Linked DNA regions of Xenopus tropicalis. The protein of the gene in region 2 interacts with the protein of the main gene of each other region in a pairwise test. Links are inferred from orthologs where the notes say so. Each region holds a gene or a part of one and is shown on either strand. Other genes may lie near its edges. The genes, in order: hnrnpr, prmt1 and speg.

Evidence for each region.
Region 1: the proteins of prmt1 (region 2) and hnrnpr interact in binary tests that used the Homo sapiens proteins (3 or more experiments, as listed by UniProt). The link is inferred for Xenopus tropicalis from reciprocal best matches to the Homo sapiens genes PRMT1 and HNRNPR.
Region 3: the proteins of prmt1 (region 2) and speg interact in binary tests that used the Homo sapiens proteins (3 or more experiments, as listed by UniProt). The two-hybrid records come from large-scale screens. The link is inferred for Xenopus tropicalis from reciprocal best matches to the Homo sapiens genes PRMT1 and SPEG.

The regions. Positions count from the first base shown.
Region 1 is NC_030678.2:82,754,837-82,759,163, forward strand, and holds the end of hnrnpr (heterogeneous nuclear ribonucleoprotein R), read right to left. Parts: intron 3,884-4,327; coding exon 3,762-3,883; intron 2,995-3,761; coding exon 2,382-2,994; 3' UTR 513-2,381; downstream 1-512. UniProt on the Homo sapiens protein: Component of ribonucleosomes, which are complexes of at least 20 other different heterogeneous nuclear ribonucleoproteins (hnRNP). hnRNP play an important role in processing of precursor mRNA in the nucleus.
Region 2 is NC_030683.2:111,004,409-111,008,825, reverse strand, and holds the start of prmt1 (protein arginine N-methyltransferase 1), read right to left. Parts: upstream 2,803-4,417; 5' UTR 2,654-2,802; coding exon 2,624-2,653; intron 511-2,623; coding exon of another isoform or gene 457-510; intron 1-456. UniProt on the Homo sapiens protein: Arginine methyltransferase that methylates (mono and asymmetric dimethylation) the guanidino nitrogens of arginyl residues present in proteins such as ESR1, histone H2, H3 and H4, FMR1, ILF3, HNRNPA1, HNRNPD, NFATC2IP, SUPT5H, TAF15, EWS, HABP4, SERBP1, RBM15, FOXO1, CHTOP, MAP3K5/ASK1, MICU1 and NPRL2.
Region 3 is NC_030685.2:83,596,357-83,599,528, forward strand, and holds part of speg (striated muscle preferentially expressed protein kinase), read right to left. Parts: coding exon 3,152-3,172; intron 2,773-3,151; coding exon 2,697-2,772; intron 1,313-2,696; coding exon 1,163-1,312; intron 306-1,162; coding exon 92-305; 3' UTR 1-91.

The DNA.
Region 1 (4,327 bases), on a different chromosome or scaffold from region 2:
CACACAAGGCTCATTTTGCCTGAAGCAAATGATTTGTATGCAGTTGTTAAAAACATTAAAATGATTAGCTTTAGCTTTTTGCCCCCTGGAGCACAGAAGAAATTAGTCACGAAAATTTTAAAACGACAAATAGTTATTTATTGGCACTTGACATTTTAGGATTTGCTTTTTCCTATTTTTAATACTAGAATGGACACTAGAATCCAGAATCTAGTTGTGACATTTAGAGCAATGACATTCATTTGTCATCCAAGGGAGTTAAGTCTTTCCTGCAGCAAAAAAAAATGTCTGACAATACCCTGTAATGCAGAAGAATGGGGACCACTGTAAGTATATTTTGCAAGCAAAAACTCAGCTTAATCATGGCTTAATAAACATATGTAAAGTGTTTTACAAGGTATTTCCGGACGCTTTATCAACCACAGGAGGAGACACCCTTCTGTGGGCAACAAGCCACTATTGTTGCCTTAAGAATTAAATCCTGGTAATTTTGATCAAATTTTCTTCATGTTAATAGCTAAGAAAATGGTCATCTGCCAAAATCTTAGTATGTGATCATTATATAACAAACAAGGCAATGCTATGAAGATAGGGTGGCAAATAAAATATCCAAAGAAAAAAAGACGTTAGAACCAAACAAAAGGGGGGAAAGCAATCTTTCCATAAAAATGCTGGAAAGAAAAACAACTTTACTTATAGGTGTTAGAATTTTGTAGCAGAGAGTACGATTATATGTACCCTAAAAACTACTACTATTGAAGGTAGCTGAGCACTGTTGGAAACAGGCAGTCTAATGTGTTACTGGATGTAAGTGTGGAGAGATCATCTATATTCTGTAAGCCACACCTTGATACCTTACAATAACTGCTCTACCAGCCTCGCTGATGCATATTGACAGCAAAAGTAACCATATTTTGGTTTTTTAGTGGATACTAGTATACAAACCTTAAGAGGGTTTTATGAGCCAGTTTGTTTTTAACAGAAATTATCAAGAAATGTAGAATTTTTGTCTTCTAAAGTCTGTATATAGTGTAGTCTGGTCTTCTAGACCATTAAAACCATTATTTGTTTTGTGGGTGTGCACAGGGAAAATTCAAAACAGAAAAATTATCAGATTAATCAAACATAAATTACTGGAAAAGCCCATTCTCAATCAATATGTAGATTGAGGTCATATGCATATATGTATATAAAATGTATACAATTTCATCTTTTGCCTTCAAACCACCTAAGAAAATGCACATCAAGATCAAGATAATTTGGCAACCAAGTGTATTTAATTGATTTTACAAATTATTAATTTAAAACCCACTTTCATAGCTTTATATCATGGATTAAGTTTGTAGTTTACAGATTTGATCACTCACATATGCAGTTCAGTCTTTTGGAAGTTTTTGTTGCAAGAATCACAACTCAGTTTTTGCATTTTTGTTTTTTTTGTTTTTTAATGATTCTTTTAACTTCATATATATGTATATTTAGAATTTTTTTGCAATAGGATTTTGTGGAGTTTTATTGAAATTGTACATGAACAATAAATTTGTAAATACAGTCACAGAACAAACGGTCAAGGCTTTTGTTACCCAAGCCAAACTTGTTAGGCATATTTTTTGCCTTCATAAAAAAAAATTAAATAAACACAACTTCACCTAGTTCTAGGAATCCAAAATGCACAGTCATTTAATACATGAATCTTTAAAATATTTTTTTAATTTTTTTTTTTTTTTTTTTTTACTTAAGACAGCACTAGTGTTATATACAGCTTAATCCTGTAGAAGATACTCCAAATCCAAGGGGAAATTGTCAATACTGCATCCTGTCAAAATCATGATTGAACATTGTCCAACAGCATTAAAACCCCTCACATAATAATAAAAAAAAAAGTTTAAAAACCACTAAAAACACTGGTAATCCTTAGTATTCTTGAACTGGGGAGGGGTTGTAACCAATTATTTTAAACAAAATGACTTAATAGCACAAAAAACATTGCAGTCCATGTATAGAAGACAATGCCACAAAGTTACTTCTCTAAATATAAGCAGACAAAAACTTTCTGCACAGGGGTGGAATGGGAAAGAAAAGCCCAAATACAGGATACATGCTCTAGTTAACTGCTGACTTATGCCCATAATACTCTCCAAATCCCCATATCCAGAACACAAGGTTCAGCAATACTTAAAATACCATAACTCTACCAGTGCATTCCATTTGAATACCAACTGTAACAGAGCAATAAAGCAAAAACTAAGGTATATACAGCTTAATGATGAAACACTGCCAATAAAATTAGAGGCAGAGTTCCCAAAGCACAAATATATATATATGAAATATATATTTAAGAGTGGGTGTATGTGTGTTTTGTCTGAAGAATATGACCTTGCCTATTTCCACTGCTGCCCATAAGTATCCTGATAAAACTCCTGGTTGTCATTACTGTAACCATAGTTACCAGTATAATCACCACCTTGCTGCAATGGCTGCTGGGCGATAGGCTGGGTCCCCCAGTTCTGTTGGTTGTTGGTCTGGCGGCGCTTTGAGTCTGGCTGGGTATAACCATCTGCCTTTCTTTTACCACCAACGTTCCCACCTCTGCTGCCACGGCTGCCCCTTGAGTTTCGCCCTCGTGGCTGTTGCTGAGCGGGTCCTCCACGTCCACCACGGGATCCGCGAGGAGGGCCCATTGGAGAACCTCTAGGGGCATAGCTGGAGCGCCCTCCACGCTGGGGAGGAACAGATCTACCTCTGGGGGGCGGTGGTCCACCCCTCCCACCTCTGCCTCCTCTTCCTCGCACAGGGTAGCCATCGTCATAGCCATAGTATGGATCATCATAACCCCCACGGTAGTCATGATAGTCGTATGCATAGTAATCATCATAGTAATCTTCATAGCCATAGTAATCTTGGGGAAAGGAATAGCCCCCTCTGCCTCCACGGCCCCTGCCCCTACCAGGAGGTGGCATTCGAGGTGGAGGGTAATAGTAATAATCGTCATACCTAATGAATGGGGGGGAAAAAAAAGTAGTATTAAAGCATTTTACAAATACATATTCATACCATTTTTAATATATTAACACATTTGAATTCTTATAAGGAGGCTGATTGAAAAAACCAAATGCTGCCTTATGCCCCAAGCAACCTGCCCAACTCAACAAGGGCCAGATGGGCTTATCGGTCATTTAACCCTTGGCCACTGAATGATTTCATCCTGGGAGTCTTGTGGTTTTCTATCCTAAATCAGATATTGTGACTAAATAAAGTCACAATCAGATATTCTTCAGGAAGGCAAAAGTTTTGACTCCATTCACAAGCCAACATGCTGCTAACTAAGCCAAATATGTCCATGTCACCCCCAATATCTGCCCAAGTACAGGCACAATAAAAATCAAAGTTAAGCCTTGGTAAATATAAGTTATAGGAGAAACAGAAAAAAACACAAAAATTAGGTTTAACTGCAGACAGATTGAAAACAATTCTACAAAAGCAAAGTAAAGGCACAAATGAAAATTACACAAGAATTTTTTAATACTGCTATTTGAAAAATCCAAACTGAAAAATTAGGCTCTAGCTTGAGTCTAACGAGATACATTGACATTTGTATTAAAATTATTACTAACAAAAACATAAAAAAAAAAAAACAACAAAAATTGGTGAACTAGCAGTTCATGCCAGCATGAATTTTATAGATTAGTTAAAACATCCAGAGCTTGACCTTTCAGTTGCTTCAGTTGACAATGTTTACTCAAAAATCTCAATATACTCACGAACTTCCCCGGGAAGCCTGACGTGCTGCTTGTCGTTCCTTCCTTTTTTTATCAGGTGGCTTAGCAAGAACTATTTCAATCTCTTCCCCCTCCAGTTCTGTTCCATTCATTTCATCCATGGCCTAAATAAGAAATTAAAAAAAAATTCAAAAAGAAAAAAGTACAAATGAATACTCAAAAGCATGTTCTAAAAGTGTATATAAACAAGAGGTTGGTGGACTAAAGAGTCTGAGGCAGATTTCTTAGCATTCTGATTTTCATAGTTTTTTTTAAACTTATTTCCACAAAACCCAGCTTTCTCAGTTCAACTGACTGGTACGAGAAGACCTCAGAATATAATTTATATGCCGAGGCACTTCCCATAATATTCAATTAAACTGAAGAAGCTCCTCATATGAGAAGTGAAATGTCTTCGGTCATTACAGCAAGTCCAGTTGCTCTAGATCAGTGATCCCCAACCAGTGGCTTGTGAGCAACATGTTGCTCTCCAAACTCCTGGATGTTGCTCCCAGTGGCCTTAAAGCAGGTGCTTATTTATGAAGTCTTGGCTCAGAGGCAAGTTTTGG
Region 2 (4,417 bases):
TCACAACTGGTCTGAAACTTTATTCAGCACCCTGAAAAAAGTATAGGTATAAGTCACTTTTAAAAAGAGACGTAAAGGTAAAAATCACTAGGAGGTGTGACCACCAGTAATTCTACTCATGAAGCTGGTGCCCGAGTCCAGTAATCATGAATACAGGAGTATAGCCCCAACATTTTTATCCTATTTATGGTGCATCCCATGAGCAGCACAGCGAGTCCAAGATATACTGTACTACACATGTGCACTTGGGCAGAAAAGCATGGCGGCAGGGTGCTCAGAAACAAGCTTCCTGGGCACCAGCCTGTGCATGCAAGTTGGGATTTTTACCTTTACTTCTTTAATCAGGCTGTAACACCACTGCACCACAGTACCATGTAGTGAAATGGCATTTGTTACATGAACTCTAAAGCCAAGTTGGCCAAAACACAACTAGCCAAAAATTTAAAGGATATTTACATCTTCTATTGGAGTCCGCAGGCTCATTCCATTGGCCAACTTGGCTACAAAGTTCTAGAAAAAAGTAACATGGAAAAGTTCACAATGTAACTTGTTTTTAAGCTAGCCACAGGTCAAGCCAGCAACAGCCAAGCATCTAATTTCAGACAGCTTTAAAGGAAACATGTGAAAATTATGAAATACAGAAGGATTGTGCTAAAAAAAAAGTTGTGTCTTGGACTGATTGAAAGATTCCCCCAAAACCCTAATAGTCCTGCCCATCTGTTTCACTAGATGTGAAGGGGGGCTGGCAGCACTCTGTACACTGCACTGTAGGATAGGAACCAATCGGTTTCCCATCAGGTTGGCTGACCTGATAGGGAACTGAAGCCTTTGCTTGTGTGACTGCCGGACTGTGATTGCCTATTTCCCCATTACTGTACTTCTGGCAGGGATCTTAAGGACACGCCTACCCCTCATTTGAAGCACTGACAGGAACCTGAGGATCTATAGGGAGCTCCAATAAAAGTAAAGCCAGCCCCAAATATTCATAATTGCCTACAAAATCAGTTTTTTCTTCATTTAGCCAATGCCCCCTTTAAAGTTAACAGGTCAAAGGTTACAGAATCACTACTGCTAATCACCATCAGTAAGCCAATGGCCATCAGAGCTTAGGTCAAGCCCCTTAGTTTACAGCAAGTCTACAGATGCAACTTGTAAGGCTTATACAATCAAATATGTAGAACAGTTTCAGCCCCACACATCTTAACACCTTCAAAATGAAAATTTAAGTAAATCTAGGAAAGTAAATAGTCTGCCAAATCTTACCAAAATTAGCATTCAATATAAAAGCACCACCATAAAATAGATCAGAATATGGAGTTCCAGGACCTTTAATAATTGCACTCAGCCGGAGGTCTTGTATCTGGGTATCTGTGCATATGTATGTAACACAACCAATCTGGCAATTCCAGAGGAGCCGCTTTAAAATACCATAAACCGTAACTATTCAGTGGGCTACTGTACTTTAAATACCAAAACCTATTTTAAAACCCAGTCCAGAGCTACATACATGTATTCAATGGGGCTTTATATATAGTTTCTAAATTTGCCTTCTAACCGGTCCAGCTTTCAGATGTGGGTCTCAGATCCCAAGAATCTTTGCTCTATATGGCCACAATTGTATTACTTTTCACTGATTATCGTACTATTCAGACCTACAATTCATATCCCTGCCCTTTGTTCCAACCACTCCCTGGTTGCTAAGGCTAGTAGAACCCTACCAACCCAATAGCAGCTGGAATTCCAAACTGGAATGTTGAACAAATTGAAGTTAAAAGACCCAACAAAAGAGACCAATTGCAAATTCTCAGATTACACTCTACCTCATTCTGAGTAACTCAGGTGAACAAACCCTCTATAGCCCTTTACCCATCAACCCTCTAGCACAGTCCCAGAGAATCTACAAAAAGCGATCTAACACATGGTTGTGTCGAATAAAATAAATGAAGTTGGTTTAGGATCGACCCCCCCCCCCCACTGAGCAGGAGGAATGGCGGGACACTAGAATCTCATGTCTCACAAGAGACAAGGGGAGCCGTTAGCATGCGGCCATGGCCCACCCCATTACTGAGAGACTGCTCGATACAAGCCGGCAGGAAGAATGGCGAGCCGTGGGCAGTGGGAAGAGCGCGGCGTGGGACACACGTGTTCCGGCTCCAGCCAGGCCCGGCTTTGTGCTACCGGCATGTGGGCGGGGCTAGGGGCGGGGCATCGCCTGGGGAACACGTGGCCGCTGGCTTCTCAGCACGGACGCGCTACTTACGTCACGATATCTCCCCACGCGTGAAATTCCCCGCAGTGGACGCCCGTGTGCGAGGCTCCTAGCCGCCATTATACCACATCCCTTTAAAAAGGACGAGTCACTGCTGTACTACAGCATTATCGCCTCCCCGGCACCCTAGGGGTTCTGCAGAACCGCTCAACAGAGACCCAGGCCCTGCGGCGTTTAAGCCCTAAGTGAGCAAATTCCAGCCATTTAACGGGGCGGCCATGGGGCGATGTGCTAGTTCGCCGCCATTGAGAGCGTAGAGTGTTAAAGAGTTAAAAGGCCGCAGTGGCCTCACAAAGCGCTCGGCTATAGCGCACAGCCCACCCACTCCCCATAGCTCTTCTCTCGGCTAGTTACCTCCATGTTGCAGGTGCTCGCTTCAGCCATGTTTGTCAGTCTCTCTCACGAATCTAAAAAAGAAACTCAAAGCCACGCCACCGGCTTTGTACGAGAGAACTGCGACATGCGCTTCGGCCCCTTTGCCTTTTATATAGAGAAGCACAAGCCCCGCCCACACACGGCACCGCCCCGGCGTCCTTCGCGCGTTTTTTTCTACCCCTCAACAAGAGCAGATTGTGCCTTTCTTCGCGAAACTGATCCGCCCCCTCCCATCCCCGTACTCCCATTGGCCAGTTTCTATAAATCTTGGCCCACTCACTGGCAGAGGGCTCCGCCCGTCAGTTCGTTCGCTTGGCTGATTGGTGAGTTTGTTTAAAACGTAAAACATTGCGTAATAAAATGGAGTCTTTGTATGTTGAGCTAGCTTAATTTTAGTAGTTCGAGTTTCGGCCGAGCGGTACTGGAGTCACAATACTATTCTTGAAAAAATATTTTATTAGCCTGGGTTATATGACAGAAATCACACATATATCCTCCGAGGAAGAACTGGACTCAATATAAGCCTTATCAGTATAAAGTGAGCTGACAAATCTGTGCACACGACTCCATGCCTATGTTATTGTCCAATGTGTCCTCTCCAGTCATAAGATTCCATGAAAGCAGAAACCTGTAAAGTGCATCACATCTCTACTGTTTTGGTTGCTAATACTCTGAATTAAACAGATAGATATAAAATACTTTAGGGTAAAGTAAAGGCTTCCCAGAAATGTATGAATGTTTATTAAAAAACATAAACTTTCCAATATTTATAATGTAAAATATAATCTATATATTGGAAAGTTTTTTTTGTTAATAAACAAATGCATTTGTAGACTATTTGAAAGAAATTGCTTCCAGTGCCCTCAGCAGTATCAGCCTGACCCATTGGCAATACTGCAGGTAGTCACTAGCACATTGGTGATAAGGGTCATTAGTTGGTATTTGGTTTTAGCTAGTTATTTTTATCATAAACAGGTCTATATACTAAAACTAAATGCAAAGGTGAACATTCCCTTGAAATTAAGCCAAATAATAGGTTCCCAAACTGCAGAGTGCCATTGAGCCCTATGGGAGACTTTCCTTGGGCCAGGTTGGAGCTGCAGAGTGCCATTGAGCCCTATGGGAGACTTTCCTTGGGCCAGGTTGGAGCTGCAGAGTGCCATTGAGCCCTATGGGAGACTTTCCTTGGGCCGGGTTGGAGCTGCAGAGTGCCATTGAGCCCTATGGGAGACTTTCCTTGGGCCGGGTTGGAGCTGCAGAGTGCCATTGAGCCCTATGGGAGACTTTCCTTGGGCCGGGTTGGAGCTGCAGAGTGCCATTGAGCCCTATGGGAGACTTTCCTTGGGCCAGGTTGGAGCTGCAGAGTGCCATTGAGCCCTATGGGAGACATTCCTTGGGCCGGGTTGGAGCTGCAGAGTGCCATTGAGCCCTATGGGAGACATTCCTTGGGCCGGGTTGGAGCTGCAGAGTGCCATTGAGCCCTATGGGAGACTTTCCTTGGGCCGGGTTGGAGCTGCAGAGTGCCATTGAGCCCTATGGGAGACTTTCCTTGGGCCGGGTTGGAGCTGCAGAGTGCCATTGAGCCCTATGGGAGGCTTTCCTTGGGCCGGGTTGGAGCTGCAGTGTGCCATTGAGCCCTATGGGAGACTTTCCTTGGGCCGGGTTGGAGCTGCAGGGTGCCATTGAGCCCTATGGGAGACTTTCCTTGGGCCGGGTTGGAGCTGCAGAGTGCCATTGAGCCCTATGGGAGACTTTCCTTGGGCCGGGTTGGAG
Region 3 (3,172 bases), on a different chromosome or scaffold from region 2:
CCCTGAGACCCCTGAGGGTCCTCCATGATCCAGTGGAATGCTCCTATGGCTTCTTGGCCAACTTATTTAATAAAGAGTCTGCTCTTGAAGGTCACTGAGTGACAGGAGCTGAGGGCTGGCTTCCGTGGTACGAACGAAGGAGGACTTTGTGCTTAGTGGCTGTGTCTGCGCGTCTCCTCTGTTGCTCCACGAGGAACTCTTTGAGCTTGTTAGTGGTGAAGGTTAGGGTTTGGCGTCTAAGCTTCATTAGGTAGGCATCCTGGAGCCAGGGATTGGAAAAACATTCCTTAAGTGATGGGCGGCTCCTGGAATAATAATATAAATGGAAAAGTATGTTCAGTGTTTAGCTGTTGGACTTGGAATCCATTATACAGAATGACTATGAAGATTTTCATTCATCCAGGTCATGATATATCCAATATAAATAAATCTAAAGCAACTGGACTTGTTAAGTAATCATTGAAGATGTATCACTACTCATCCGAGCAGCTTATTCAGTTCAACTGACTGGGATGGGAAGCCCTCAGCATATGTACTCTCCCACTAATCCAATCATAATGGCCCTTCAGAAAGGTGACATCTGAAACTCACAGAGGTGTGAATTCTGTGGAGTTACTTTGAGAGGATTCTCAAGTATCATGCAACTTTTTAGAGTGAATGGATGTGTGAAGAGTTCTGAAACGCCAGGGTACAGATGTTAGAACAGCATTGTATGTAGCAGACAGATGGTGTCGAAGTCCCCCACCTCTGTTTAGGGATGGTTTCTCCACTTATACATAAGCTGAGAACTTCCCATACCAGTTGAACTGAAGAAGCTGCTCGGATGAGTAGTGAAACGTCTTCAATGATTACTTAACAAGTCCAGTTGCTTTAGATTTATTTATATTGGACATTATACAGAATGTTCTGTGCGTTGTATGGAGAACAGAGACCTGTGGAAATTCTCTTAGTGCCGAGCAGGGGACTCACAAATATCTTTTGCTTGATGTGAGTGTGTTAGCAAAAAAGCCTATAGGAGTACTTACTATAATATAAATATTTAATATCTAATATGGGACTAAGACTATCAAATCTTCACACAGAGATTGGGGCATTGGAGCAATAAGAGGGGCCTTTGCCACAAACACAACTCAGAATAATAAAGTCACACACAGCTACTAACCAAGGATATATAGTCAGGATCTTGCGAATGAAGAGGGAAGCACTTTGGGAGGCGTTGGAATACAATTTAAAGATATCAAATCGTCCCGACAAGATCTTGTTCTCGGTTTCCACGGGGTCCAGCTCAAAGAACGGAGAGCGGCCGCTGAGCCTGCACCGTGGGAAATACAGAATGGAGAATTGTGGGAAAGAAGCAGTTTAAAAGACAATTGATATATTAGCTGGAGCAATATGTCCTGATGCAGCATTGCTTTGGACTTTGCTAAAGCGTTTGATACAGTACCTCACAGAAGGTTAATGATCAAATTAAGGAATATTGGCCTAGAACATAATATTTGTAATTGGATAGAGAACTGGCTGAAGGATAGAGTACAAAGAGTGGTTGTAAATGGAACATTTTCTAATTGGACCAGTGTGGTTAGTGGAGTACCGCAGGGGTCAGTCCTTGGGCCTTTGCTTTTTAACTTGTTTATTAATGACCTGGAGGTGGGCATAGACAGTACTGTTTCTATTTCTGCTGATGACACTAAATTGTGCAAAACTATAAGTTCCATGCAGGATGCTGCCGCTTTGCAGAGCGATTTGACAAAATTAGATAACTGGGCAGCAAACTGGAAAATGAGGTTCAATGTTGATAAGTGCAAAGTTATGCACTTTGGTAGAAATAATATAAACGCAAACTATCTACTGAATGGGAGTGTGTTGGGGGTTTCCTTAATGGAGAAGGATCTGGGGGTTTTTGTTGATAACAAGTTGTCTAATTCCAGGCAGTGTCATTCTGTGGCTACTACAGCAAATAAAGTGCTGTCTTGTATAAAAAAGGGCATTGACTCAAGGGATGAGAACATAATTTTGCCCCTTTATAGGTCCCTGGTAAGGCCTCACCTTGAGTATGCAGTGCAGTTTTGGGCTCCAGTCCTTAAGAAGGATATTAATGAGCTGGAGAGAGTGCAGAGACGTGCAACTAAACTGGTTAAGGGGATGGAAGATTTAAACTATGAGGTTAGACTGTCGAGGTTGGGGTTGTTTTCTCTGGAAAAGAGGCGCTTGCGAGGGGACATGATTACTCTGTACAAGTACATTAGAGGGGATTATAGGCAGTTGGGGGATGTTCTTTTTTCCCATAAAAACAATCAACGCACCAGAGGTCACCCCTTTAGATTAGAGGAAAGGAGTTTCCATTTGAAGCAGCGTAGGTGGTTTTTCACGGTGAGGGCAGTGAGGCTGTGGAATGCCCTTCCTAGTGATGGGGTAATGGCAGATTCTGTTAATGCCTTTAAGAGGGGCCTGGATGAGTTCTTGATCAATCAGAATATCCAAGGCTATTGTGATACTAATATCTACAGTTAGTACTAGTGGTTGTATTTATAGTTTATGTATGTGAGTGTATAGATTGGTAGGTGTGGGTTAGGTGTGCTGGGTTTACTTGGATGGGTTGAACTTGATGGACACAGGTCTTTTTTCAACCCTATGTAACTATGTAACTATGCTTGTAAGAAAAGCAGTTAATAGAAATTGTGATAACAAATACTTACATTATGTAAGTCAGAACGCCTACACCCCAAATATCAGCTGCTGGGCCTACTGCGTCACCTTTGAGCATTTCGGGGGCTGCAAATGAAAGGCACAGGGTTAGGAACAACAAGAAATGTGCAAGAAAGGAAGACGACAACCAGACAGGCCAATCAGTATGAGTCTGGCCCCTGGGCCAATGACTGGATCCTAACGTGGGCCTATAAACCAATCACCAGCGTGATCCTCGCCTGAGGGCATTTCCAAACTTGGGCCATCAAAAGGGCCCCAAACACTGGGCAATTTTTCACTGTAATCATTTATAGGCTACTATACTGGCTACTTTACTATATACCTTTGGGCCAATACAATAATCACAGCCCAATAACGCAAATAAGAATTAACTACACAGGAAACTAGGGAACTGTCAAGAACCTATAGGGAATCCACATGACACAAAGACACCAAGGCTACGCACACATATATTCCAGGGTCCCTA